4 linked regions of the Tamandua tetradactyla genome follow. The protein of the gene in region 1 interacts with the protein of each later gene in a pairwise test. Links are inferred from orthologs where the notes say so. Each region holds a gene or a part of one and is shown in the gene's direction. Other genes may lie near its edges. The genes, in order: FMR1, NUFIP1, PICK1 and CYFIP2.

Evidence for each region.
Region 2: the proteins of FMR1 (region 1) and NUFIP1 interact in a two-hybrid assay, tested with the Homo sapiens proteins (2 studies listed by BioGRID). The link is inferred for Tamandua tetradactyla from reciprocal best matches to the Homo sapiens genes FMR1 and NUFIP1.
Region 3: the proteins of FMR1 (region 1) and PICK1 interact in a two-hybrid assay, tested with the Homo sapiens proteins (2 studies listed by BioGRID and IntAct). The link is inferred for Tamandua tetradactyla from reciprocal best matches to the Homo sapiens genes FMR1 and PICK1.
Region 4: the proteins of FMR1 (region 1) and CYFIP2 interact in a two-hybrid assay, tested with the Homo sapiens proteins (2 studies listed by BioGRID and IntAct). The link is inferred for Tamandua tetradactyla from reciprocal best matches to the Homo sapiens genes FMR1 and CYFIP2.

What each region holds. Positions count from the first base shown.
Region 1 is NC_135353.1:9,407,029-9,413,934, reverse strand, and holds the start of FMR1 (fragile X messenger ribonucleoprotein 1), read left to right. Parts: upstream 1-3,893; 5' UTR 3,894-3,966; coding exon 3,967-4,017; intron 4,018-6,906.
Region 2 is NC_135330.1:113,890,599-113,898,526, forward strand, and holds the start of NUFIP1 (FMR1-interacting protein NUFIP1), read left to right. Parts: upstream 1-4,915; 5' UTR 4,916-5,293; coding exon of another isoform or gene 5,294-5,381; 5' UTR 5,382-5,596; coding exon 5,597-6,020; intron 6,021-7,928. Other genes in the region: GPALPP1 (GPALPP motifs-containing protein 1), read right to left, coding at 5,294-5,381. UniProt on the Homo sapiens protein: Binds RNA.
Region 3 is NC_135333.1:30,396,011-30,404,004, forward strand, and holds the start of PICK1 (PRKCA-binding protein), read left to right. Parts: upstream 1-4,987; 5' UTR 4,988-5,203; intron 5,204-5,209; exon of another isoform or gene 5,210-5,354; intron 5,355-5,523; 5' UTR 5,524-5,580; coding exon 5,581-5,621; intron 5,622-6,659; coding exon 6,660-6,771; intron 6,772-7,994. UniProt on the Homo sapiens protein: Probable adapter protein that bind to and organize the subcellular localization of a variety of membrane proteins containing some PDZ recognition sequence.
Region 4 is NC_135346.1:38,357,404-38,364,262, forward strand, and holds the start of CYFIP2 (cytoplasmic FMR1-interacting protein 2), read left to right. Parts: upstream 1-3,849; 5' UTR 3,850-3,937; intron 3,938-6,859. UniProt on the Homo sapiens protein: Involved in T-cell adhesion and p53/TP53-dependent induction of apoptosis. Does not bind RNA. As component of the WAVE1 complex, required for BDNF-NTRK2 endocytic trafficking and signaling from early endosomes.

The sequences.
Region 1 (6,906 bases):
TGTAGGGCGGGGTAAAGGAAGGTAATGACTAGGGGAAGCACAGGGCATTTTTAGGGCTGTGAAGCTATCATGAACGATATTTTAATGGCAGATATATGACATTATACATTTGTTAAAACCCATTGAATTGTATAACACAAAGAGTGAACCTTAATGTAAACGATGGACTCAGTTAAAAGCAATGTTCCAATATTGGCTCATTAATGCAAGATGTTAACAATATGGGAAACTGTGAGTATGGGGAGGGGTTCCAGGAATATTCAAGAACTCTTTGTACTACCTGGCTCAGGTTTTCAATAAATATAAAAAAGAAAGTCTATTAATTAAATTATGTTTCTGACATCAAGTTCAAACGAGAGGTCAAGGTGAGGAGAAATCGTCAGAGAAAGTGTCATGAAAAAAGTAAGACTTTGGCTGGGCCCTGAAGGATACATAGACCTTCTAAAGTTGGAAAGGGCAGAGAGCATTTCCAGCTGGGATTACAGCAAGAACAAAGACTCGGAGGGCTCAAATTGCTAAGGAGCAGGAAACAACACAGAATAAATCAATGCAAAGACAACAGGAAGCTATTTCATGGAGGCTAGGGGCCAAGACAGGGCCAGAAGAGCTGAAGCAGCATCCTGGTATCTGATAAATATAGGTAAGGGAGCAGACTTGCCCGGAGCCAGGTTCTCATCGACACTTCATTCATTCACTCACCAAATATTGAGCAAGCACCTACTATGTTCTGGACTCTGTGTTAGGCACGGAGGACGCAGCCGTGAATAAAACAAAGAAAACCTCTCCTCTCAAAGAACTTACACTCTAGTGAGAAGAGACAGAAAGGCTTTGTGTGTTCAAGAATCAGCAAGGAAGCCAGTGTGGCTGGAATGGAGCGGGGTAAGGGGAGAAAAGGTAGAAAGTGAGGTAGAAGATGTAACAGGGACCAGGCTGTGCAGGGCATTGAGGCTGGAATAAATAAGGACTTTGACTTCTACTCTGAAGGATTTAGGAAACATTGGAGAGTTTGAGTAGTATAGTGACTTGACTGACACCTGAACAAGGTCACTCTGTCTTCAAGAGCCGCAGCAGAGAGACCAACGAGGAGGAAGTGATTGTAGTAATCCAGGAAGAGAGGGTACGTAGGGGCTTGGACCCTGGTTTTAGCAGTGGAAGTTGTGGTAATTAGATTCTGGACTCAGAAAGGATCTGCTGATGGATCATATGCAGAGCATGAAAGAACAAAAGTCAAAATGACTCTGTTGTAGACCTGATGTTAGTAAATGTAACAGCTATTGAAATCAATCACTTGTGTCCCAGGGACACAAAGATAAGTTTTCTGCTTTGAGGAAACTCATAGCCCATTAAGGGAAACAAATATAAACAAGTAATTCCAGTACCTTAGGTATCACAGTAGGGGTATTCAATAGTTACTGGGTCCAGCTATATGCCAAGGGGTGTGATGAGGAAGCAGGCAGTATGTGCAATGTTCTATAAGAGCACAAAAGGAATTTTTGCAACGGTTTATAAAGGCGTTCACAGGAGAGTTTTTTTTTTTCCATCCCAGTGTGGCACTGGAGTGTGTAGGTGGCAACCTAGATGCCCATCACTAGGGAAAGCTATAAGTAAAATTTATAGAATACTCAGCAGCAATTGGAGACAACAAACTAGATGTATACACAGCAATGTGGCTACAGCTCAAAAAAAACAGTGTTGAGTGTGAAAAGTGGGAAACAGAGACTCACAATCCAATAGTATTTCTGTAAATGGAAAGGGCATTCATAAAGCACTGCAAGCTTTAAATTACCAAGGATCTATCACAAACACATCGATGCGGGTGCCTAGAAGAAGGAGTACAAAGATTGAAGATGACAAGGAAAAATCATATAAACCATATTAAGTAATATAAACAAGAGAGGATCCTTGCAGGGACTAATGATGACAATGTGCAGAGAATTGAGGAGAAAAATTAACTCTTCCCCTGAGGTAAATTAGCTACTAACAGAAATCCAGCTGATAAGGAAGGGTAAGGGGCAGGGTATTCTAGGGGACAGGAAGTATGTGCATGAAAATGTATCATAGGTCCAGAATCAGGGTGGCTGGGAGGAAAGGTGGTTGTGAAGAGCTGATACATTTGAAAGCACCGGGTAAATTGAGCAGCAGTTTACGCGTGGAAAGTATAATCGTTCGAAATCAACATGTCTTTTACAACATTGAAGTTCAAGATACCGCACTGCTCCCATCCAGCCTACGACAGGACAGCCCGATGGGGTCTTCGCATCTGTGACGACTCTAGAGACCCTAGTCCAGGAGATCTTTCCTCAAAGGAGTGTGGCCCTCAGATCAGCTGCTTTAAAGCTGGATCTCCACCAGGACTGGCTGCTCCTCTGGCTGGTAGTGGGGTGGGAAAGAAAGTGGAGGCCCAAGGATGCCTCGCATTCTCCGACACCTGCCTGGGGCAGTTCGCCGCCCTCCCCCAGCTCGGTGCTATCCATCTACCAGTTAACACACCCCTCACATTCCAGCTCCAGTCGTTTCCCCTTCCCTGGCCACCCGTCCCCCATCCCAGGCTGGTTCATGCCCCACTATCATAGGTGAACCTATTCTTCATAGCTCCTATCACACCTTTGCCTTTTTGATCATTTGACTTTGATGTTCATCTAGGTCCCAAGTTCAATGCTGACAGTCTTTTTTTATTGTTGTCGTTAACCAGTGTATCACCAGCACTCAGCACAGTGCTCAGCACACGGTGGTAGGCGCTCAGTAAACCTCTACTTTGAATCCAAGCGTCCCAGACAAAGGCAACACGTGTCAGGTGGAAACCAGCACCACTGTGAGTCAGGAGCGAGAACGCTGGGATTTGTTTTACTGTAAGAAGCGAAGGAGAGAGGCAGTTGCAAGTTAACAAGTCGAGCAAGGTCCCTGTACACAGATCCCCTGTGCTACAAACATGCCCACCACACCCTCTGGTACTGGGTGAACATACATTAGGGGCGGAAGTGAACTATAAAAAAGAAAATGATTGGCGCATTCTTCTTTTTTAACGTCACGTAAAAAATGAAACTAATTGAAGGACGGGGAGTATGTGGGTCAGTTTTGGGTCTGAGAGCGGACTAAAATTCCCAGAGGTCCTGACACAATCCATTACAGGTCAAGGAACGTAGGGATAGCAGTCCCAGGTCAGCCCAGACTCTCAAGGAAGGAGGTGGTGGGCGTTACTCTCACTTCTCTGCCTCTGAGAATCACACAAGCCTGGGTTAACGTGGTTGCCGCTGTGAGCAGTTCACGGTTTGCTTCAATCTTATTCTCTCCCTCCCCACCCACCCAGTCCACCTCCAGCTCCATCAGGCTTGGACTTGCTTAAAACATAAAATAAAACAACCCGTCCACCTCCAACCCATGAATGCAGTCTATCGCTCAAGGGGTCCTTTCCCACGCCTCCGCATGCCCCAGTACGGAAGGAGGCACTGGCAAAGCGACGCGACCTCCTCTAGCTGCACGGCCCATCACCGCCCTTCCCGCCTTCCCGCCTTCCCGCCCTCCGTCATTCCCAGCGCACGCCGAGCCCGCGCGCCCTACGTCGGGCCCGGAACCCCGGTCGGTTCCCAGCATCGCGCATGCGCGCGCGCTCCAGGCCGCGCGGAGGGAAAGGGCGGGGCTGAGGGGCCGAGCCCGCGGTGGGGGGGGCGGCAGTGGGGGGGGGGCGGGGAGATGGGGGTGTGGGTCACGTGACGCCGCTTGACTGTTTACACGCGAAGCTGCCCGGCGCTGGGCCTCAGTCAGGCGTTCGGCTCCGTTTCGGTTTCACTTCCGGTGAGGGGCCGCCTCAGAGCGGGCGGCGAGCCGACGGCGAGCGCGGGCGGTGACGGCGGCGCCGCTGCCGAGGGGCGTGCGGGAGCGCGGCGGCGGCGGCGGCGGCTGGGCCTTGAGCGCCTGCAGCCCACCTCCCGGGGGCGGGCTCCCGGCGCAAGCAGGGGCGACGAGAAGATGGAGGAGCTGGTGGTGGAAGTGCGGGGCTCCAATGGCGCTTTCTACAAGGTACTTGGCTCTCAGGCAGGCCCCATCGTCGCCCTCCCTTCCCTCTCTTTTCTTCTCTGCTCGGCGGGAGGCAGGCCTGGGGCCCTCTTCCCGAGCCTGACGCCCGGGGCCGGGGCGCGCTCAGCGGGATCTTGTTTGGGAGGGAAGGACCGGACTCGGGGCCTGCAGGACGCCCCTTAGCCCCGCTCCTTCTCCTGCGAGAGGCCCCGGCGCCTGGAGGAAGGAGAAACCCGCACGGAGAAGGCTCCCTTTCGGGGCCAAAGCCACCCGGCCGGGGAGAGCTGGGGGTGGGCCCGGGCTGGCTGCAGGTACAAGATCCCGGCGGGAAGGGCCAGAATCCGCGCGAAGTGACGGCGACGGCTTATGTCTCTTTTCCTGAATGTCCTCTCCCGATGGGATCCAGGCCCGATGTGTGGGTATTTGTTGAGAAGCGGCGGGCGCTTCTGTCGGGCCGTCTCTTGCCTTGTAAAGAGGTTTTAAGGTCTCCTTTGGCTTCTCTTTTCCGGTCCAGCATTGGGACTTCGGAGAGCTCCGCCGTTCTGGGCAAGGGGTGTGAGTAAAGAGTAGTAAGAAGCTTATAGTCAGCACCAAATCACAATGGCAACTGATTTTTAGTGGTCGCTCTTTGTGGATTTCGGAAGAGATGTTAAGACTCCAAAGTTTCAAAAAGACCCTAACATATCTGGGCAAGGCATTGCAGAAGAAGTTGCTCCTCTTTCATCTTCGCCCCCCCCCCCCAGTTTTTTTCTTTTTTAAGGTGGGTAAATTCAGGAATACTGATGCTAAAGCATCTAAACAACCCTGCTAGTTAAAAGAATAAAGAATATGAAGCCCCCAAAGACCTGAATATATACCATAAAACTTCAGAAAATTAATTGAGAGTACGTTATTACTAGGGAATTTTTAAAATTCGAGTGTTTGGAAATAATTTGTTTTGCCCTCTAAGTATTTAACTCTCTTCTCTTTGAATTGTAATGCTGCAGAGGACTGTTTTGTGTAGGTTTTGAATAGATACTAATGAGTGCTGTGGATTGTTTTTTTAAGTTACACCATTGTTGGATCAACTAGTATCTTACATTTTTAAAAGACAAGATTAAAAATAATATTTTGATTATCAGTAGTGCGTTTGTTGGTAGGTATTTACTGTAGATCTATTAATCTGTAAATTTTCCTTTCCGCTTGGTTATATCTGTATAACTTCTGTAATATCCCACCTTACTACAGTATTTTGTCAGTAGACGGTGCACATGGAAGGAAGCCTGGAATTAGTTATTGCCATTGTCCAACACAATTCATAAATTGATTCTAGGTTAGCTTTAACGTTTCAAACGGAACTTATCTGGCCAAAGGAAAGCAAGCAGTTGACTTAAAGTATTTGACTTAGATGTTTCCCAATTTAACAGGAATTTAGAGGTAGATATAGTTTATAAATGAGTAAGGTCTGTAGACTCCAGTTTTGTTGTAAAAGGAGGCTGTGAAACAGCCCAGCATTTATATTCTTAACAGAGTGTCATCAATATAAAATTGTTTCAGTTGACCCTGCCATCAAAATTTCAGTTGCATTTATTTTGGTGATCCATTACTTCTACTAGTTGATTTGTGTACAGTAATTCTGGCTCCAGGATTTGTAGTTTTGATCTCTAGATTTGTGGAGCTAACCATAATATACATATAAGTAGGGTCTAATGGTTGAGCAGTAGTCTAAATGATGTTTGAATGCCACTCTTGTTGGATGCTGCTCTTGTTGTCTTAGTGGGGTTTGCTAGTTCACTAAAGGGGCCAAGTGGCATATCCTGGTCTTGAAGCATTTATTGTTCTCTTCTAGCAACACATGATTTGCTCCAGTGATTTTTGCTTACAAACTGGGTGGAATATAAGAAATGCCTTACGTCTTTGCTATTAAGCTCCCCACCCCTTATTGGTTTTTGTTTTTTAACAAAGTAGCCTGATTTGAGGGTGAATGAAAAAGAATGGATTGTTCCTTAGTTCCTTGACGGGAAAGGTAAAACTTGAACAAATGTCTGTAGAGAAATTGCTGTTGTGTTCCTTTAATTAAGATTTAACTTTAACAAAACCTCAAATGATCTGTGTAGATGAAAAATATTTCTATAATGAAAAAAAATTGTCCATTTTTATCAGACTCGGAATATTGCTGTAGTTTTAAAAGTAGAGCAACAGTAAATAGTTGCTTGTCATTATTATGTCCTAGGGCTGGACAGGAAAGATGGGAAATAAAGACCAATCAAAAATGAATACTATGGAGCACTATGTTGTATTTATGAAGAAAAACAGGAAACTTATTCATCAAATTGATAGAAAAGCCTTTAGAAAGTATCAGCAAATCAATGACTTTGGTATAATTGAATACAAACTTTGATTTTCCTACCCACCACATTGCAAAGGACAGTTTTCCATCTTCTGAGCACGTGGTCCAAGTTTGTGATATAAACTAGATAGCTTATACATTGGTAACGGTTTTATTTTTTCTCTAGAAAATAACTCAAGCTCAGGATTCAAAATTAACATAACCATGAAACCCAAACTGTTAAGATGGTTACAGTCCACTATATTTTCCCCCTTGTGTTTTTTCTTAAATACTTGAAAATGGAAGTAATTATCAGTGCCACTACTTTTTGCTCGCATATTTCTTTGACTTAGGAAAAAAAAATCATGTGTACCACTTATAGAACCTTACATTATTTAAGACATGACACTTTGAATTATACCTTACAAAATCTTTACAAAGAATTTCCTATGTAAATAATATTGAGGTAGGATCTTTATTCTAGGGGCATCTGCCCAAAGTAATGTAGTTTCTTTGGACTGGGAGTTTTGATGTGTTGGGAATAGTAATGAATTAACTCCATTTTAGAAATAAAATGAATGTAA
Region 2 (7,928 bases), on another chromosome or scaffold:
TTTCCAATTATATTCTTGCTTAGGGAAAGCAGAAATCATATCTTAGCATAACTAGGATATTCACAAGAACACTAATACCTGATTTATAAATATAAATATAGCATATAATTTCCCCAGCAACATGCAATTTTTTTCATTGTTTGGTACACTTGCCAAAATAGCTAAATGATTTTTTTCCTTTATAGATAGCATATGGTAGACAAAATTACACTACCAAGCAAACCAGACCAACAAGTTGACTATTTCATACTCTAATATATCAAACATAAAAATATCCATTCTGGTTTCTAATTAAAAAGAAAATCTTTACTGGCATCACCATACCAATCAGTTAGTGTTCTTTCAAGACAATTTAAGCAGAAATAAAGTCAGAATCACTTTTAAGTTTTACTGCTTACTAGTAGAGATGAACAGAAGAGAAAGAGATTGTACTGGGGTGGGTGGGATGTTGGGGACTTTGTTAAAAGTCCCTTAGGCCCACTCACCAAAGTGACCTGCTCTCTTGTTATACCCCAGCAAATTACAAATTATTATATGACGTCACTCCATGATGTTGTCAAGTCATAGAGACACAACTTCTGTGTTGATCCTGAGTAGTAATACTAAAGGTCTACTGCCAGGAGGGCAATGGTGGCTCAGTGGCAGAATTCTTGCCCGCCATGTGGGAGACGCGGGTCTGATTCCTGGAGCCCGTCCATGCCACAAAAAAGTCTATTGCCACATATAGGCCAAACACCTGATCTTGAGGCTTCCTCTTATGAAGTTTATGTATGCAGCAGAGAAGCTTAGCCTACCAGAGGTAGGCCTAAGAGTTACTTCTGGAGGACCTCATCTCTTGCTCAGATGTGGCCTCAATTCTCTCTAAGCCCAATTCTGCAAGTGAAATCATTGCCCTATTCCCTATGTGGGACATGACATCCAGGGGTGAAATTCTTCCTGGCGGCATGGGAGATGACTCTCAGGGATGAGTATGGCCCTGGCTCCATGGCATCAACAAAGCCATCCTGACCAAAAGGGGGAAAAAAGTGTAACAAATAAGGTATTAGAGGGGTGAGAGAGTTCAAATAGAGCCGAGAGACTACTCTGGAGGTCCCTCTTACATAAGCTTCAAGTTTCAGTTAAATATTGCTACCTATCATAATGTGCCATACCCCAACCAAAACCATTCAAGCTAATCCTAATGACTACCTAGGGCAATGTATAAGATTCCATCTCCCTATCCCATATTACTGATAGTCCTTCCAACATGAGAAAGTTAAAATGGCCATAGCCCAAACACCCTTAAAGAGCAGGACAGAAAGATCAAAGATGATGGTGGACTTATAAAGAGAAGATAGGGTTTAACAAAAGAGTATGATTGCTAAATCATTATACTGATATTTCTTTTAGTCTCCAGTATCTTAGAGCAGGTAGAAGTAAAAACCTAAAATTGCAGAATTGTAACCCATACAAAACTCTGAAATGTTGTTGTTCAAAGTGTCGTGCTTTGAAATTCATTGCTTTTTTGTATGTATTTCATTTTTCACAAAAAAGAAAAAAAAAGTCAATTGTGATGATAAAAAAGTATTTATTCCTTTTAACCGCCAATGTTCTGGAGCAGGTAGAAGGAAAAATGTGAGATAATGGTATGGTAGCCCATGACAAACTCTGGAATCTGTCTTATAACTACTTGTTGAAGAGCACTTTGAAAATTATTACTTTTTTCCTTTCTTTGCTTTGTATGTATGTTACTATTGCCAATGTAGATCAAAATGGAATAAGAAATAAAGACCACCATAATGGTGAACTGATAGGTAATTATAAATAAAGTCTTTTGCCATAATTTCCAAGTCTGGATGCTTTTCAAGAACCACTAAAATATATATTTTTTAAAAGATTCCTAAGCCATTTCCCCAGGGATTCTGATTGAGTTGGTCTGAGTCAGAACTGGAAATATGATTTTTTATTTGTTTATTTATTTTTAAAAAAGACTTTATTTATTTTATTTATTTTACATGGGCAGGCACTGGGAATCGAACTTGGGTCTTCTGGCATGGCAGGCATGCATTCTTGCCTGCTGAGCCACCGTGGCCCACCTGAAATATGATTTCTTAAAGAGCTTCTCAGATATGCCATATGTTCAATGATAACTTAATAAATAAAAGGAAAATAACATGTTTTGGGTTCTTATGCATTATATGTGATTTTAAGAAATTCATATGAACTAACCTATTTAATTTGACATTATTAGAGAGGTATTGTATAATAAAGAACTTGGCTGGCCTTTGCACCTGGTTCTTGGGAGATATCCTCTAAATCTCTGGAATTTCCCATGATAGACCATGCCCTATCAGCCTGACCTCAGGGGAGAGGAGAGGGCTGGAGATTACATTCAATCACATGGGCATGGGTTCAATCAATCATGCCTGAATCATGAATCCCAATAAAACCTCTGGATGCTGAAACTTGGACGAGTCTTTCCTGAGTAGTAACACATGTCAGTGTGCTGGAAGAGTGATGCTTCCAGACTCCATGGGGAGAGAAGCATGGGAGCTTTGTATTTGGTGGCACTCCTAGACTCCCCATGTATACCTTCTTTCGGCTGGTCCTGATTTGTATTTCTTTTGCTGTAAAATAAAACTGTAATCTTAAGTATAGCACTTTTCTGAGTTTTGTAAATTAGGGACTCCCAAATTTATAGCCAGTTAGTCAAAAGCGAGAGTGACCCTGGGAACCCCAGAACTTGCAGCTGGTGTCTGACATGAAAGTGGTCTTTTGAGGACTTGAGTGCTCAACTTGTGGAGTCTGGCCTGATTTTCAGGTAATCAGTCAGAGTTTCACAGCAGCTGGTATCAGAAGTTACCGTGAGAGGTGTTACTGTTATTTCTATTTTACAGACAGGTAACTGAAGCACAGGAAGGCTAAATAATTTGTCTGACTTCACACAACTAAAGAGAGGAGCCAGGATATGAATATAGGAGTCAAGAGCCTATACCCTTAACCACTATACTATCCAACATTCAAGAATTGTCATCCATCCATCCAACAAATACTTTACTGGGTAAATACTTCTAGAGAAACAAACATAAAAAGACATATTAGCGCAGATGGTTAAAGTGCTGTTATGCAAACAGGAAAATAGGGAAAAAGTGAGTGGATATTTAGGAGGGTAATTTTACATGGAGATTTGAGGGCAAGTCTGTTGGAGGTGAAGGCTGTTGGTGGGCATGCACCAAGCTGAAGGGAAAGCATCCAGATGGGAGCAGCTTTTGAAAAGTCCTACAAAAAGGGAATAAGCTAGATGTGCTCGAGGCCAAAAAGTCCAGTGTGGTTAACAAAATGACAGAAGAAGAAGGTGGATGGTACGAAGGGGAACAGAGCATGCTTTCATGTCAGACACTCTGGATTAGAATTTCAGCTTGGCCACTTACTAGCTGGGTTAACTGGTTAAGTTGCTTAACCTTTCTGAGATACTCTTTCTTCTGTTAAAACAAGTTAGCAGTATTTCCAAATTTCAGAGGACTCTTGTGAGGAATGCATTAGTTAATATATGTAATACACTTAGCACAGGATAAAGCACACAGTAAGGAGGTTCTAAGTTGGGAGAGACTTGACCTGAATTTGCGGATAAGAGGGGTTTGGAGGTGGGGGGAGGTGAGTTAGAAAAAAAAAAGGCTTATAAAAAATGTTATATTTGCAACATACTTTGAAGGAAAAGCAAAAAGGACCTGATAATGGTTTGGATCTGAGGGCAAAAAGAGGAAGTGAGATGGCTCAGGGTTTGGGCTCCACTGGCTAGCCAGGTGGGTGGTCATGCCATTCTCTAATATGGGGAAGACTAGAGAAGAGAGGATGGGGGAAAAAGTCAAGAGCTTTGTTTTTCACATTTTAAATTTATGATACCCATTAAAAATTTCAGTGGTCCTGTCAGTGGTACTTTAGGGAGCAAATCCTGCCTGAGATTAATACAGGGAATATAGGGGGTGCACGAGTAGATCAATCATAGAATAGCTGCCTGTCATACAAACCTGGGTTTGATTCCTGGACCATGCATTTCCCCGCCCCACACACAAGAAAAATAAAAAAAATTCCCTATGATACATATATCACATCTCTGCCTCAGGGTATATGTTTAGATGTAGAGATACATAAATGTAGGGAGACACATAAAAAAAAGTAGGGAATATAGTGAATCAGAAACAACATGCATATAAGAACCCAATCAGATAATTTGTTTCCACACTCTTCTCCAACCTTCTTTGCTAAAATAAAACATGACTTTTAGTGGCTATAACAAAAATGAGATCTGGAAGGAAAACCTTTAGGTAGAAACATGGCTGTGTGGCAGTCAAGCAACAAAAATTAGATCCAGAAATGAGAGACCTACTCTTTCTGCATTATTTTTCTCTAACTATAGCGTCGGTCCTAGTCTATAGCTAAAACAATAAAGGAGATAGATACGCGTGGAGGAGTCTGAGAAGCATTTATTTGGTAAACAAAATGTTGGCTATGTGTTAAGGCTAGAAGGCCATAGTGCAGTGGGGGAGACAAATAATTTAAATACACTGCATTAAATATATGATTTAATTAAATAGGGGAAAAAAAACCCTGTGGGGAAAGATGAAGGTGTGACAAAGCATGGGATAGTTCGGAATGACTTCAACTGGATATTTAAATTTGGATCTTAAAGGATGGATAGGAGTTTGTCAGGTGTGTTAAGATATGCCAACAGAGAGAGGTCAGAGGGACCCTAGAATATTAATAACTGTACAGAAATTTGGTCTGGTTTGAGCACTGTGTGCCAGACGCAATGACAGAATGAGAAGTTAAGGAAGCAGGTGTAGAGCCAGAGAACAAAGGATTTTCTGTGAAGGTCTTGTACGTCAGAAAACAATACCGCACAGAAGTTAGGAGTACGGGTTCTACTGTTCTAATTCGGCCTCCACCACATGCACGCTGTGATCTGGGCACCTATCTCGGCCTCGGTTTCCAGTTTATGATATGGGAATAGTAATAGTCTTCACCTCCTATAATTTCTGGGAGGATTAAATGACTGTGAGTCAACCGTTTAGCCCAGCGTCCGGCTCATATTAGCGCTAAATTAGAACACATCAACATCATAATGATAACCCAACGAAAGCTCGCGCAACGCTACGGGTTTTCTGAGGATACCCCACCGCCACCTACTTGCTACTACAGCTTAGGAGGGAAAATTACAGCTGCGGTCGGGCCGCGCCCACTCCCGGGTCCTCCGCCCTCCCGGGGGTCTCCTTACTACTGGGTCGGACCAGCAAGGGGGCACGCCTCCGCCTACCCGGGCTCGGGTCCCGCTCCTCGTCTTCGGCTGTCCCGCGGGCATTGAAGCCAGGAGGCAGCGCCGGCCCGATCATGTCCCTGGCCATCTGAGGTGGTCGACACTACTCACGCACAAATATATTCTATTCGCGCAGCTGCAAATCTATCCGAAAAATGCCCAGCGGAGCGCTGCGAAAGCTTTAAGTTTTTCCGGCGCTGACCAATGACATAGCGGCCTGTGATTGGCTACATTGGGCAATTCGCGCTAACGGAAGTGACGGCTAAAGGTTGTGCCAAAGTCATAGGTTAGGTTCCCGACCTGATGGACGGCGTGGCTGAGCCGGCTGGTGGAGTTTTGACTCCTCCGGGGAGTTTTCCGCCTCCCCAGCTGAACCCCGCGTTGGGGTCGCTGAACAACGCTGCCCCACGGCGGGACAACTGGGTGCTCTGGGCAATGCTGCAGCCGCCGCCGCCCCCGTCTTCGTCCTTGACTTCCACGGTCGGGTTAGAGCCTTCCTCGGATTCGCACCCGCACCTCGCGGCCCACGCTCTCCCCGGGGTGCCGCCCCCCTTCGACACTCAACTTCTTCCCGGAGCTCAGCCCCCCTTCGATGCCCAGTCTCCTCTTGATTCTCAGTCTCGACCCAACGTCCAGCCTTCCTGGAATTTCCAGGCATCGACATCATGGTACTGGAGACAGTCTCCTGAAACGTTTCCTCAGCATCAGAAGTCCCACAACCTTCACGGTAGGCTGTTTTTCCTCACAGTATCACCCCTTTACCTATCACCGGCCCCCTTTCTTTTTCCCTTCCATTTCTGCTTTCCTTCGCTTTCTGCACTTCTGATTCTGCCCTGCACTCTTGGAATCTGGTCGTTAATGTCTCACAGTATGTCCTGCTGGAATATTTTCTCCTTCTGTCCATTCGTTTTAGAAGTTATTTATTGAATTTCAACTAAGTACCGGGAACTGGGAATATAGCAGTGAACAAAACATGCAGAAATCTTTTTCTTTATGGAGCTTAACATCTTAGGGTGGACAGACAATGAACAAAGCATATTGTGTATTTGAACGCAATGAGTGTGATATAGAGAGATAAAAATGATAGTGCAGTTTTAAATACAGTGGTGGGGGGATGGTCTCATAAGAAAGGTGGGATTTGAGCAAAGACTTCAAAGAGGTGAGCGACCAAAATTATGGCTCTATGGGGGGAAGGGATATAGGTAGAGAAAACTACATGTGCAAAGGCCTTGAGGCAAGATATACAGAAAAGAGTGGAGTCCTTGGTGGTTAGAGAGAAGTGGGCCTAGTGTAGAGTAGTAGAAGAGGACAGACTTTGTAGTTTGCCTTGTAGACCATTGATGGAACTTTCATTTGACTTTTACAGTGGGTAGCCGTTGACCCGTTTTGTTCAGGGAAGAGATATGTGCTGATTCAAATTCTAAAACGATCAGTCTGGCTAGAGTAATGTAATTGAAAGGGCAGTCAGTTAGGAGGCTGTTGCAGTTATCCAAGGGAGAGATTTGGGGGACGTGGGCTAGGGTGGAGCTGGATGATGAGAGGTAGATGGATTCTAGATATATTTTGAAGATAAGGCCAGTATGAATGCTGAGGGTTTGGATGTGGAATGTGAAATGAGGAGATGAAGGTAACTTAAGTTTTTTCCCGACAAAGAGCTGAAATTGAGATGGGGAAGACTGAATGGAATGTATTTGAAAGGGAAGAACAAGAGTTGGGTTTGGATATGTACATTCAAGTAGAGTTATTGAATAGCTGCTAGCTATGAGACTGTACTTTCAGGAGAGATGCATGGCTGGAGCTGTTAAGTTGCCATCATTAGCATGTATATAGAAGATATTTAATGCCATCAGCTTGTTCACATAAAACCATTCTCCAGAATTTCTCCAATTGCACGAAATTCAATTTAGGTTAAATTAAATCTAAACACTCAGTGAGTACTGTGTGTCAGTTGGGGAAATATATGTGTGGCTAAGACCGTCCTAAATTGGGTGAGATAGGTTCATATATATGTATAAATTACAATATAAGTATGACTGGTGATAGATGCGTATAAAAGGTGATTCATAATGCAGAAGAAGCAGCTTTTGGAAGAAGTTTCTTAAGGAGGTGTAGGATTGGGGGGAAAAGTGCTTTCTAGGTAATGACAGAGAGATGTCAGTACAAGGGTTCTGGAGGAAGGTTATAGAGGCAAAGCAAGCTGAAAAAATAAACTGGAATCTCATCAGAACACTCCAGAAAGCCATTTGTAGATTTTTGAGAGGGTAGTGTCATGATTGGAGTGTATTTTTGGTGTCATTGTATGGGATCAGTTGGAGAGGAGAGAACTTAGGAACTGAAAGACAATCTGGGAGAATATTACAGTAATCTATATGCAAGATCAGGGTTTCAGAGTTGGATAATGGCAGTAAGAATGGAAAGCAGCAATAGGATGTGAGAGAAGATGTACAAGGTTTCATTATCCTTGTGTTAGAGTGATGTTGGCAGTGCTGTATCAGATTTTACTGTTTAAGTTTCTGATATTCAGAATAACTGAAAGGAATTTCATTAGGTTATTGTCCATTTCTATACCTAAAACATCTATGGACCTGTTATCTCACCAGTATTTTTTCTTTTGAAAATATTTATTTCGTAGACT
Region 3 (7,994 bases), on another chromosome or scaffold:
GAGCAATTTCTTATGTGTTTCCTTACTCCACACCAATCCAGCCAGGCACTCACACTTCCCTTCACTAGAGGGCTCCAGGCTTGGAATTTCACTTTTGACCAAGTTGTTAATGAATCAAAAGTTAGTGACAGACCTTCCATGCAGGAGACCGGGTTCAATTCTTGGACCATGCACCCCCTCCCCCTGGCAAAAAAAAAAAAAAAGTAAAAGTTGGTGATAGGGCAGGTAGTCTTAGCCTGCTCCAACAGCTACTGAGACCATTTCCTTTGGAGTCACAGCTAGAGACCTCAGATTCATTCTTTATTCTCATCAAAAAAGCCCAGAGAGTCCTGTGGCTTTTATAGCCAAATAAGCCAAATATATATATATATAATTTGTCTCCTCTTCATTCCTACCTTTGTTCCCCTAAATCTTTGTTCCAGGATGATTCTTTTCTGTGGTCTCTTAGTACACTGTACTTGCCTCTTTCAGTTGTTATTGCTTGCTTCCTTGTTCATCTCCTTGTAAGGTTTTATCCTCAGCGATCCGGTGCATAGTGTATTAAAATGTATGGGACGCAGCAAAGGCAGTGCTAAGAGGGAAATTTATTGCCCTAAATGCCTATATCAAAAAAGAAGAAAGGGCAAAAATTCGGAAATTAACTGTCCACTTGGAAGAACTGGAGAAAGAACAGCAAACTAACCCCAAAGCAAGCAAAAGGAAAGAAATAACAAAGATTAGAGCAGAAATAAATGAAATTGAGAACATGAAAACAATAGAGAAAATCAATAAGACTAGAAGTTGGTTCTATGAGAAAATCAACAAGATTGATGGGCCCTTAGCAAGATTGACAAAAAGAAGAAGAGAGAGGATGCAAATAAATAGGATCAGAAATGGAAGAGGAGACATAACCACTGACCCCACAGAAATAAAAGAGGTAATAACAGGATACTATGAACAACTCTATGCTAATAAATACAAAAATGTAGATGAAATGGACAAGTTCCTAGAAAGGCATGAACAACCAACTTTGACTCAAGAAGAAATAGATGACCTCAACAAACCAATCACAAGTAAAAAAATTGAATCAGTCATTCAAAAGCCTCCCAAAAAGAAAAGTCCAGGACCAGACGGCTTCACATGTGAATTCTAACAAACATTTCAGAAAGAATTAGTACCAACCCTGCTCAAACTCTTCAAAAAAACTGAAGTGGAGGGAAAGCTACCTAATTCATTCTATGAAGCCAACATCACCCTCATACCCAAAACAGGCAAAGATATTACAAAAAAAGAAAACTACAGGCCAATCTCTCTAATGAATATAGATGCAAAAATCCTCAACAGAATTCTAGCAAATCGAATCCAGCAACACATTAAAAGAATTATACATCATGACCAAGTAGGATTCATCCCAGGTATGCAAGGATGGTTCAACATAAGAAAATCAATTAATGTAATATACCATATCAACAAATCAAAGCAGAAAAATCACATGATCATCTCAATTGATGCAGAGAAGGCATTTGACAAGATTCAACATCCTTTCCTGTTGAAAACACTTCAAAGGATAGGAATACAAGGGAACCTCCTTAAAATGATAGAGGGAATATATGAAAAACCCACAGCTAATATCATCTTCAATGGGGAAAAATTGAAAACTTTCCCCCTAAGATCAGGAACAAGACAAGGATGTCCACTATCACCACTGTTATTCAGCATTGTGTTGGAAGTTCTAGCCAGAGCAATTAGACAAGAAAAAGAAATACAAGGCATCAAAATTGGAAAGGAAGAAGTAAAACTATCACTGTTTGCAGATGATATGATACTATACGTTGAAAACCCTGAAAAATCCACAGCAAAACTACTAGAGCTAATAAATGAGTACAGCAAAGTAGCAGGTTACAAGATCAACATTCAAAAATCTGCAGTGTTTCTATACACTAGCAATGAACAAGCTGAGGGGGAAATCAAGAAACGAATTCCATTTACAATTGCAACTAAAAGAATAAAATACTTAGGAAAAAATTTAACTAACGAGACAAAAGACCTATACAAAGAAAACTACAAGAAACTGTTAAAAGAAATCACAGAAGACCTAAATAGATGGAAGCGCATACCGTGTTCATGGATTGGAAGACTAAATATAGTTAAGATGTCAATTCTACCTAAATTGATTTACAGATTTAACGCAATACCAATCAAAATCCCAACAACTTATTTTTCAGAAATAGAAAAACCAATAAGCAAATTTATCTGGAAGGGCAGGGTGCCCCGAATTGCAAAAAACATCTTGAGGAAAAAAAAACGAAGCTGGAGGTCTTGCGCTGCCGGACTTTAAGGCATATTATGAAGCCACAGTGGTCAAAACAGCATGGTATTGGCATAAAGATAGATATATCGACCAATGGAATTGAATAGAGTGCTCAGATATAGACCCTCTCATCTACGGACATTTGATCTTTGATAAGGCAGTCAAGCCAACTCACCTGGGACAGAACAGTCTCTTCAATAAATGGTGCCTAGAGAACTGGATATCCATATGCAAAAGAATGAAAGAGGACCCGTATCTCACACCCTATACAAAAGTTAACTCAAAATGGATCAAAGATCTAAACATTAAGTCTAAGACCATAAAACAGTTAGAGGAAAATGTAGGGAGATATCTTATGAAACTTACAATTGGAAGCGGTTTTATGGACCTTAAACCTAAAGCAAGAGCACTGAAGAAGGAAGTAAATAAATGGGAGCGCCTCAAAATTAAACACTTTTGTGCATCAAAGAACTTCATCAAGAAAGTAGAAAGACAGCCTACACAATGGGAGACAATATTTGGAAACGACATATCAGATAAAGGTCTAGTATCCAGAATTTATAAAGAGATTGTTCAACTCAACAACAAAAAGACAGCCAACCCAATTACAAAATGGGAAAAAGACTTGAACAGACACCTCTCAGAAGAGGAAATACAAATGGCCAAAAGGCACATGAAGAGATGCTCAATGTCCTTGGCCATTAGAGAAATGCAAATCAAAACCACAATGAGATATCATCTCACACCCACCAGAATGGCCATTATCAACAAAACAGAAAATGACAAGTGCTGGAGAGGATGTGGAGAAAGAGGCACACTTATCCACTGTTGGTGGGAATGTCAAATGGTGCAACCACTGTGGAAGGCAGTTTGGCGGTTCCTCAAAAAGCTGAATATAGAATTGCCATACGACCCAGCAATACCATTGCTAGGTATCTACTCAGAGGACTTAAGGGCAAAGACACAAACGGACATTTGCGCACCAATGTTTATAGCAGCATTATTTACAATTGCAAAGAGATGGAAACAGCCAAAATGTCCATCAACAGACGAGTGGCTAAACAAACTGTGGTATATACATACGATGGAATATTATGCAGCTTTAAGACAGAATAAACTTATGAAGCATGTAATAACATGGATGGACCTAGAGAACATTATGCTGAGTGAGACTAGCCGAAAACTAAAGGACAAATACTGAATGGTCCCACTGATGTGAACCGACATTAGAGAATAAACTTGGAATATGTCATTGGTAACAGAGACCATCAGGAGATAGAAATAGGGTAAGATAATGGGTAATTGGAGCTGAAGGGATACAGACTGTGCAACAGGACTGGATACAAAAACTCAGAAATGGACAGCACAATACTAACTAATTGTAATGTAATTAGGTTAAAACACTGAATGAAGCTGCATCTGAGGTATAGTTTTTTTTTCTTCTTTTTTTCTTTTTTTCTCTCTATTATCATTTTATTTCTTTTTCTGTTGTCTTTCTATTTCTTTTTCTAAATCGATGCAAATGTACTAAGAAACGATGAATATGCATGTATGTGATGATATTAAGAATTACTGATTGTATATGTAGAATGGAATGATTTCTAAATGTTGTGTTAGTTAATTTTTTTAATTAATAAAAAATGCTGATTGAATAAAAAAATGTATGGTGAATTCTAAAATCTGGTGAATGGGAGCTGCAGAGCAGGAGGTACATAGGAAGTTGTTGCTAGTGCAGCTGCAACGCAGATTAGGTCCCTAAGGAGGGGTTGAGTGGGACTTCCATCAGGCTGTGGGATGTGTGGATTATCATCCCTCTGCATCTGTCCTTCCTTCATGGCCCTGGGTGCATCTAGGGGAGGAAGCTGGGCAAACCCGGCCTGTGCTTCCCAGATGAGGTGGATGCCAGGGCTGCAGCTCTAGGAGAGCTGACCTCCTCCAGGGAACCCACTTTACAATAATAGCAGTGGCAGCGGAGGTTGGCAGGGAGACGAGATTTGGACTTCTCGGCTGGTAATCACTGATGGCGTTTATTGAGCCTCAGGTACACAGGGGCTGTGGCCCCCACTGGGCCCTCAGGGAGCTGCTCCTCAGGACTAAGGAAGGAGGTGAGGATGTCAAAACGCATCAGATACCATGGTCTAGAAGTGAAGGAGGCCATAGAAATCACCTAATTCAGCACTCTTAGGTAGCATACGGGGAAACCGAGGCATGTAAAGGAAGACGGTCCAATCCATCCTTAGCCGCAGACCCACAGAATACAGCGATCCTGACTCCCAGTTTAGTGCAAATGTTAAAAGGGCACTGGATTAGGCGGCAGGCGTCTCAGAGTCAAGATCTGGATCTCATAGCAACTCTGGGTGCTCTGGGTAAAATCTCCTTCCCTCTCTGGAACTTAGTTTTCTAGTCCGCAAAGCTAGAGTTGGGCTAGGATCTCGACGCGCCTTTCCAGCTCTGACGTTGTTATTGTAGTAGAGAAGTCACCAGGCTTGGCCTGGGACTCGGGGCTTTAGGTGTGAAAGGTAAGTCTTTGATTTATAGTGCACTGAACTTCGCAGCAGGACAGGATGCTCCGTTGGCACGGCAACCGCCTGGCAGGCGTGGGGCCCTGTATCCTACCCAAGGAGCTGGGAAAAACCTTGCCCTCACCAAGATGGCGGCGGCAACAGGATAAGGGGCGGGGCTGAGCGTTTTCTACCCGATCAGACCTTCCCTCTGTTTCCGCTTCTTTAGCCTCAGCGGCGAGTCTCCGCCCATACTTATTTTCTTTTCTGGTTCTGGGAGCCCAGACAGAAAAGGAAGGAAGGGTTGCCTGCAGGAATTGGGGGCCAGTACCCTGAAGAGGGGAAAGGCGGGACTTCCGCGCCTTGCCGGAAGTGACGCGACAGTCGCAGCCGCCGACAGGTGGAACCGCAGGTGGGTACAGGTGCCAGCCTGGCCCGGACTCGGCTGTGGGGCCGACGCTTCCGGCGAGCGACAGAGGCAGTCCCCGAGGCCCTGGAGACCCGTGGGGCGGGCTTCGGGACGTGAGCCCACCGCCCTGGCCTGGAGACCCCCCCTGTACCTAGTAAGAATCACCAACCCCCCCACCCCAACCCTGTGGACGCTCCGTCCTGAGGGGAAGCAGAGAGCCTGGCCCTCCCGGATTTGCGGGGTTGGCATTAGGGTTGGGGTTGGCTTCTGCATCCGGCGCCACGGTTCCCCAAACCCTACCCTCCTTTCTCTCCCGGATTCAGTTTCCCGTTCCTTTCCCGAGCTGGGCTGTTTATCAGCCCATTCCATCCCTCGGAACCATGTTTGCAGACTTGGATTATGACATCGAGGAAGATAAACTGTGAGTATTTTGTTCCCTCAAGTCCCAGGAATTCAGGAACCCCAGTCGCTCAGATACCTGGACTTTCCCATTCCACCAACCCTTGCTTCTTAGCGATGAGTCAGGTCTTGTGCTGTAGCAGAAAGGGACTCTACCTTTCCAGGAGCCCACCATACTTACAATTCAGGGCCTTAAGACCTCTAAGGAGAATGACCTGGGTAGAAGGAAAGCAGAGCTGATGGAGCAGTGCTTCTGTTGGGGTGTTCAGGGAAGGCTTCACAGAGGAGGTGGCAATTGAGGCAGGTTTTGAAGGATGAATAGGAATATCATAACCATACCTCCCTCCCTGACCTAGACAATAGATTCATCAAGAGTTTTGAAGATTAGGTTTGTCTGAGAGCCAGGACAGGGTCCAGTGCCTTTCTGTGTCGTCAGTATTTAGTAAGGTACTTTACCTAAAAAAGGAGGTTAGCAAATGTTTTGTGAATGAGTAAGTGATTAAATGAGACTGTTTACCATAAAACGTCAAGAAATGCCAATTTATAGTGAAAACTATAGATGTAGAGTAATTGAAGATGGCATGTGGGTAGTTTTCCACTTCCCTGACGAAATGGTTCTGTATGAGTCTGGGAAGGTGACAAGGACAGACCCTGAATCAAGTCTCAGAGGTAGAATGAGGGCGGTGGAAGGGAAACCTACTTTTATGGAGCCTCTGCTATGTACTGGGTTGGTGTTAAGTGCCTTCCATTCTCTTCCCCACATGAACTCTGATAAACTGGTCTCATTCTCATTTTCTGGGTGAGGAAGCTGAGATGCAGAGAGGGTGACTTAAGTCCCTTTACCGATAAGGGGCAGAGCTGAGATTTGATCCCACATCTGCATGACTCTAAAAGCTGTGTACTTTCCAGAACAAAACACTGTCTTTCTGGCCAAGTAAGGAGAGAAAAGGCTGTGCTGCAGTTGGAGCCTCTTGGGGATGTTGGTGGGCATATCCCCTGCCCTGTCCCTTCCAGTTGTCCTTCTTCTAGAAGATTCAGCTTCCCATGCTTCTTTTTCTAGCGGGATCCCCACTGTGCCGGGAAAGGTGACCTTGCAGAAGGATGCTCAGAACCTGATTGGGATCAGCATTGGTGGAGGGGCCCAGTACTGTCCCTGCCTCTATATCGTCCAGGTACTGGGCACTCTGGAAGTGGGGATGAGGTCCTGGAAGGGTAAGCTGTCTCCTTACTTGGCAGGTTCATTTCTCCATTCGGCAGAGCTGACTCCTCATTCTTGAGGTCTGGCTTCCACAGAGAGGCCTTCCCAACTACTCCCTCTAAGTACTCAGGTTTTCTCTATCGTTTCAGTCTGTCCTTTTCCTTCACTTATCGCCATCTGTGATCATCTGTTGGTTACTTGTTCTATCTCTAGCTACTCTGCCTGTCTCCGTGTACTCTGAGGCAGGGTCCCTGTTTGCTGCTCACTGCAGTGAGCATCTGGCTTAGTGCCTGGTATATAGTGGACATTTAATAAATAGCAACAAAACATGCAGCCTTAGGTACTAGCCTAAGTGGAGTGGAAAGACTATGATATAATGGACTGAATTCAAATGCAAGCTCCCCTCCTTAACCTTTCTGTGCCTCGCTCTCCTCACTTGGAAGATAGGAGTGTTAAATATGTAGGTATGTACATCTTTAGGTTGTCATGAAGATTGAGTAAAACGACACAGCACAATGCCGGGCATATAGTAAGCACTGACTAGGTAGTTGCCATTGCTATTTTTATGGCAATAGCTCATTTTCCAGGGGTTAAGAGTGAGGCCAGTCCTGCTGCTAGCCTTCCTGTACCCCACATGGCTAGGCAGAGTTGGCGATCTTTCTACCCTTGGAAGGAAGCTTGCATCCTCAAACAGTTTGAGCCTGTAAACTTGATCTTTTTTTAAAACATGGGCAGGCACCGGGAATCGAACCCAGGTCTCCGGCATGGCAGGCGAGAACTTTGCCACTGGGCCATCATGTCCTACCCTGTAAACTTGATCTTGATTCTACTGTGTGCTAACCCTCTCAGCTAAGTAGTCATAGCCAGCAGACAGGAACACTGAGGTTCCTCTGAGGAACTTGCAAAGGGGTTAAAAAGGTCAGTTCTAGGCCCTGAGAAGTGAAATTCCTAGGACCTGCTCTTGCCTCTGCAAGGAGCCATTTTGCCTCCTATGAACAAGGGGTAGGTGTTGGGGAGGCCTCCTCCAGGCCTGGGCTCCTTGCACGCATTTGCTCAGTGTTTCCTGCCATCTCCCTCCCCACTTCTCAGGGGTGTGAGGCAGTGCTAGGCCCAGGTTTGTTTAGGATGAACTGTGATTATAAAAATAATGCAGTTGATTTTGAAAAGTTAAAGTTTTAATTTTATCAAAGTACTGTG
Region 4 (6,859 bases), on another chromosome or scaffold:
CAGGAGGGAACTGCAATGTTCCAGCCACAATGCAGTTCTCGGCTTTTCATCTATAAAATAACAAAATCTTAGGATTTTGTGAGAATGCAGTGCAATGAGGCCATCCATATAAAGTACTTAGCACAAACACTGGCCCCATATAAACATTCAATAAATGTTAGTTTAAAATATACGCTTTAGGGTGGGCCATGGTGGCTCAGCAGGCAGAATTCTTGCCTGCCATGCTGGAGACCCGGGTTCAATTCCCAGTGCCCAGCCATGCAAAAAAAAAAAAAAAAAATATATATATATATATATATGTATATATTCTTTAATAAATTATTTCAGATTCAAAGACAGTGGCAGGCAACCCTTTGGTTTCCCATGGAAGGACCTGGGGTCTGAGTTCAGCCCTGCCTTGGATAACATCCTCTTTTAGGCCTCAGTTCTTTCACCTGTAAAATGAGGCAATTTTGAGCAAATGGTCAGGTTTTATCTAATGGGCAATGTGAATTGTGTAACTGACCATGAGTTTCTCTTTTCCTGCTAACCACAAGAATGTACAGAACAAAAAATGTGTAAGCTTATTGTAGCAAGACCATGGCATATAATTTTTGTACTATTCACATTTTTCTTTCCATCTCTTTTTGAATTTTTTCTCTTCTTTCTTTTTGCTATTAATTTTTTAGCTGTTTTTAACTTTTAATTTAATGCATCCTTATGAGTTGCATTAAATATGTTTTGGGGAAAAGTGTTGATAAATATCTGGATTTGGTTTGGAAGAGGGGACATGGGGATGCTTATAATAGCAGTCAAAGCATCAGTGTTGGTTTCACTATAGGGGGCAAGTTATTTAACCTGTCTTAGTTTCCTCAGTTATAAAATAGGACTAATGATCATATTTTCCTCATGGGACTACTGTGAAAAATCAAATGGGGTAATGCACTGGTATAGCTTAGCCATAATTGTTATTTACATTTTCTCTCTCCAGAACGAATTCCCATGTCCTTTCCAGATACGCCACTGCTGGCTTCTAATAAGCAGGGTCTGCTGATGGTTTTTAAATGCAGACAACCTAGATGTTCCAAGTACTGTGAGCCTTTTCTAAAACCAAGGCCATGTTGCTTCACATGGAACCACAAGGCATGAGCCAAAGTTTTGCAAGTGGCAGAGCAATTCTCACTTGGTAGCTGCAATTTTCTTATTGCTGAGGGTGCAAATCAGTGTGGGACTTGAAGGAAATAAGAAGGCAGTACACAGACAGCTACAAATTTCACTGACAAAGTGGAAAATAACATTTCTTCTATCAATTATTCATGTAGGCCATTTTGATTACATTCCCATCATCTACCAATCTCTGTGCTAGGATTGGAGGACACAGTGGGGAGCAAGGCAGACCCAGTCCCTTGTCTCTTAGATTGTATGGTCTCATGATGGATGCAGGCAAGCAAATCAGCAATTGTGACACAGCATAATAAAAGTCATGATAGAGAAGTCCAGGATAGAGACACCTACCCAAGGCATGGAGGGATCACAGGTGGCTTCTTGGAGGAGGTAACATCTTTGTGGATAACCAACAGATGAAGAGGAGTAGATAGGCAAACTGGGGAAAATTGTAGAAGAGAGAGAAAAGGAGCTTTCTAAGCAAAAAGCTCAGCTCGGGCAAAGACCAAAGACAAGAGAAAATACAGCAAATTGTGGGAACTAAGAGACTTAGTATTTATTTTTTTTCTCTTCTTCTTTCTTGGGGGGAGGGTGAGGTGCATGGTCTGGGAATTGAACCCAGGTCTCCTGTATGGAAGGCAAGCATTTTACCACTGAACCACCTGTGCACCCCAAGTTGGGGAAACTAGAAGAAATTTCTTTTAGCTGAAACATAGTGAGCATGTCACAAGTAGAAAAGATTGGAAAGGCAGGGGCCAAATTATGAAGTCCATGATAGACCATGGCAAGGAGTTTGGGCTTCATCCCGAGAACAGTGGGGACTACTGACGTGCTTTAAGCCAGGAAAGGATCTGTCCTTTGTTTTTAACTCATGCAATTTTCCACATGTAGGAACTTTGTAGCAAAGCCAACTCACTGCATTTTATAGATGGAGAAACAGGTCACTCTTCTATTAGTTGCAAAACTAGGACCAAAAGACAAATCTCTGCATTTCTAGCAAAATGGTTTCAATCAAACCATATGGCTTCTCCTTTATACGTATATAGAATTCATGGGTCAGGGAATAATTGTTGCCTAAGATCTAACCAAGTATGCATGCAATGATATTCTTTGTTTTTAAGCAATTTATTCTGATTGGTGAAAAGACAAGGAAGGAACAGCAGGGTGAGCTATGTCTTCCAGAAAAAGAAAACATCCAAAATAATATGTCTTTTAGAATGAAATCCATTTTATTAGGATTCTCATTGTTAAGTCCTGGTAATTACTGATACTCAAAAATCCCAAGGATCAAGGTTGAAAACAATTTTTTTTAAAAAAACGAAACTTTACTTCCGTTCTTAAAATCATCCCCCACAAACTCCCCCACAGCTTTCTCACATGGCATCAGGGACAGAAATGTGTGTGTGTGTGTGTGTGTGTGTGTGTGTATGTGTATGTCATCCTTCTGAAATAGGGATTTAAATCAGAATGAGTAACGTAATATCAAATTACCAAGGATTATGAATTCTGTGCACTTGGGAATTATGCAAAATCAGCAAGGGCAAAGACTTACATAAGGTCTTTTCTGATCCTTGAACAGTGTGGCTCCTCTATAAATATCCCTTAATAGGAATAGCAGAGTGATAAAGTATAAATTTGTGAATCCTAGGCAAACATTTAAGAAAGGTCTCCTTGAAACAAGACTTTATCCCTTATATCTGTATACACTTTAAAATGTCTCAAATGCATTCAAATTACTTACCTGTGAGTGAGGAGGGGCATCTCGTGACACAGCAGTGAATTGACTGGCCTGGAGTCTCAAGGCTAGGACAAGCAAGGCTCAGCCTGACTTGAATCTGGTCTGAAGGTCCACCAGGCTGCATCTCAATGAAAATTGTTTCTTTGGAAAGCCATAAATTTCCAGAGAAATTTAAAAGAGAAGGGTGGGTACACATCCTCTCAGTTGCTATTGGGCCCCCAGGCATTGCCAGGAAGGTTTCCTGTTACCGTATTTTTGCTTTTTGTTCACTAGCCAATTCTAACTGGATGAAGCTGGGGCACGCTGGTGCTTAAGAGGTAACAATTTCAGGGATTCTGCCCAAAGTGACTGAAAGAGGGTAGGGGAAATTATTCCGGAGCAAAGGAGCAGCATTAGGGACTAGCCTCAACTAGTGTGATTGCCGCCCTCCCCATCAACTCCCAGGTTTATTTTCTATCATTTCACCCTATTCCTTTTCTTTCCAGTCCTTCTCCCAGATGTAATTTATGCCCATCTCTTCTGGTAGAGATAAGCTCCAAGAGGGCAGGGACCCTGTCTTCTATACACCAGTGCATACCCAGTTCCTGGCACGGGGCTTGAAACAAAATTGGTGCTCAGTGAAGGCTGGTTAAATAAATGAGCACTTGGGAATAATGTGAGAATAATGAAATTCGAACGGGTCCGAGCTTGCGATCCCCCATTGCTGTAGCGTGGGTCCCAGGAAATGGGGGACATGGGGTAAAAACATCCCTCCCTTTTCCTCCCCGGCAGCAGGGCGGCAGGATGGCCTGGGAACCCGACTGGTCCTCGTGAGATGCACGCTAGGGGTACCGAGAGCCCTTCGCCGCAGCCATTTCCTGCTCTTTGTGTGACAGCCGCGGTGGCAACCGGGCCGGGCACCGGGAGGGAGGCGGAGCGCGGCTGGCGGCGGGGCGGGGCCCGGGGCGGGGCCGAGCGGGGCCGCCAGCAGAGCGGAGCCCGGCAGAGCATCCTGCGCCCCGGCGTGGGGCCCTGCCGTAGCCTCGGGCCCTGGCCCTGGACCTGCCGCAAACCCAGGTAAGCGCCATTCCCCGGCCTGGGGACCCAATCCGGGGTCGGGATGCTGATGGTGACCGGGATGCGGCCGTGAGGACGCGCGAAGAGCCGGCATCTTATCTCCCAGCCCGTGGAGGGCACTGGGCGCCGCGCCCGGGTTAGCGGCCTGGGGGCTCCCCGGCAGTCCCCGGAGTCCGGGCCCCGGGCCCGGGGCGCCTCCCTTAGCTCTCCGGCCCAGCTTGGGCCGCACGCGCCGGCCCTCTGCAAGGACGCGCGGGCGCACGGCGGAGCTCGGGCGCGGCGGCCCCAGTAGCAGCAGGTGCGCGGCCTGGGCCGTAGCCGCCTGCGGGAGAGGAGGCGGCGCTAAACCTGAGGACCCGAGACACCTGCAGCGGCCGCCAGCACCGCTGCGGCGACATCCTTGCGCCCAGGTGCCGCGGGCCGCCTCCGCCGGGGCCACCGTCACCTCCCCCAGGGCCAGCGAGACCAGCCTGGGCCCGCCTGGTAGCTGCCTCGGGCACCGAGCGCCCTGCGGTGAATGTGAGATGGGTGGGGCGAGGGGCGAAGCGGAGACGTTTGGGAGTGGGGCGCTTTCATGAGAAGAGGAGGCACCACCCTTCTGACCCGCTTTGAAGCCTACTGGCCTACCGGATCCTCTCTCGCCCGGCCGCGTGGGGGCGGGGGAGGAGGTGGGGAGAATGCAATGAGGGGGCTGACTCCTGGGAGAAAGGTTGGGTTTTCTGAGCTCTGAAGAACCAGGAAGATGCCTACCTGTCTAACTACCTAGTAGCTTCCTCTGGTCAGGAACAGCCCTTCCCCTCAGTGGGTAAGCCGGCCTATTTATAAAGGAGGAGAAGGGGGTGCAGTGGTTTTGGGGTGGGGGCCGGTATGGTCCAGCGGGGCCTGAAGAATAGCTAGGAGAAGGATGGGGCTGGGAAGAACACTGGGAGTGCCCAGGTGCCCAGTCCCAGCCCAGGCAATCTGACTTTGACCTCTGCCTGCCTGTTTTCCCCAGCAGGGTGGAAACTCACTCAGGCTGATGGGCAGTCAGCTCCCCTTCCTATCAGCTCCTGGCTGTCTGCACCTTCACAGGTGGGCAGGGAGGCTGGAGCAGTCCTGCTGGCATGAGAGGCAAATCAGGAGAGTGTTGACGCCCGCGTTCCCCTCTGCCACCTCCCGCCTGCATCCCCTGTAAGGCAGCGGATCTCAGCATACTCTTGACCACAGGTCACGTTGCAAGTTGGGTCCCAGAGCCCTCAGATCTTGGAGGGTGAAAATCTAGGTCCATATTCTTGGTCAAGATTGTGAAGGCCTTGAAGTCTTCTCCACCACCAGACCCCTTCTCTATGGACTCCCACCCCCACTTGCGTAAATGCCCTGTGTTTCCCCGGTTCTCCCAAGTCAAAGTTCTCCCAAGTCAAAATTTGTGAACCTGTTCCTTCTGAAGAGCTTAAATACAAAAGACTTCCTCACTTGATTAAGAGCAGGTGCTTGAGAAGTCATTTGACTAGAAAGGAAACAAAGGGTGGAGACATTTTAATGGGAAACGAAGCTCTAAGTGAAAATATTGACATCTCTAATGGTGGAATTTCAGACAGCAGGCTGGAAATGTGGGGGGGGGTGGGGGGCAGCTGTCCCTGAAATGACAGCCTCTAGCAGCTTTCAGCTCTGTGTACTTGCAAGGGCAGTTTTGGCCCTGAGGGCAGGAATATGTAGGAGTGTATGCATGTCTGGTCAGAGTCATTGTCACCAGGAGACATCTGTTGAGCACCCAGTGTCCACTTGTGGGAGGTGAAACTTCCTATAGAGAACTACAGGTCGGCACTGGCTGCCACATGCTGGGCAGTTCCCAGCCACCAGAAGAGTATGTTGTTGCTTTCCAAGCTGGTGTCTCTGCTCACTCAGTGCCAGTGCACTGAGCCTCTGGCTGGGATCGGGAGCTCTCTGCTCACTAAGCTTCTTTATTATGTTTCCTGGCCAGTTCTGACTGGTTCCGGAGGCACCCAAGCCTGCCTTGTTCAGTCCCTGCTGGAAAATGGAAAAGGAAAAAAAGCTTGCTTTAGGCATTAGGCCAAGATTACTGACTTCCCAGAGTGGGTATAAAATCCACTAGGGTTGGAGAGTTTTTCTCAGATTCGATCTGAGGCTGGCCCAGAGAAGTAAATAGATATGAATATAAAAACTAGAAAAGGGCCCAGGGAGATTACTGCATGTCCCCTCTGATATATCGTGTCCTCTCAGGTGTTCAGTGGGCCTCTGCTGCTGTCATTGACCAGCAAGTAGAATTAGGTGGTGAAAAGGCAACAAGCTAATCAACGTTGGGGACACACTCCTGGAAAACAGAGCAGGGCTCTAGTTTTCATGTTTCAGGATTGGCCTGCATGCTCAAAGAGGTTTATTTGGGCCACTTTTGGCCTTGGGGTTCCACCAAGAACTTCACAAAATGGTGACCTCCATGTGGTCACCATAACAATGAGTCTATTTTTTTTTTTTTCTGGCACGTATTAATTATTCACTTGGTAGTTGATGAAACCAGACATCAGTCACCTCATTAGAGTTTTTGTGAAAGGCCTTTGGTCTTTTCATTCCAAGAAGCAAAGCCATGTCTCAGGTCCAGAGATGGACCCTGTGTCAGTACTGGAGGTGGTGGGAGAGGGTGGCGGGTGCTGCTGGCTTCTAGGCAGTGATGTGGGAGGTCAGCTGTGGTGGAGAAGGAGCTGACACTTAATTGGATGCTCCTGTTAAATGAGAGATTCGCAAGCATGCTAAGCAGAGTGTCTAGCATACAGTACTATTTTTGTTATAATATATTGATTACATAATCATTAAGAATTTGGCTTAAATATGTTTAACCCATAGCGCTTACCAACCCTCTACCACCAGAGCTTTCCTGAATTTTTGCTTTATGAAGGGAACTGGTCTCTGACCAAGAAACCCAGCTCC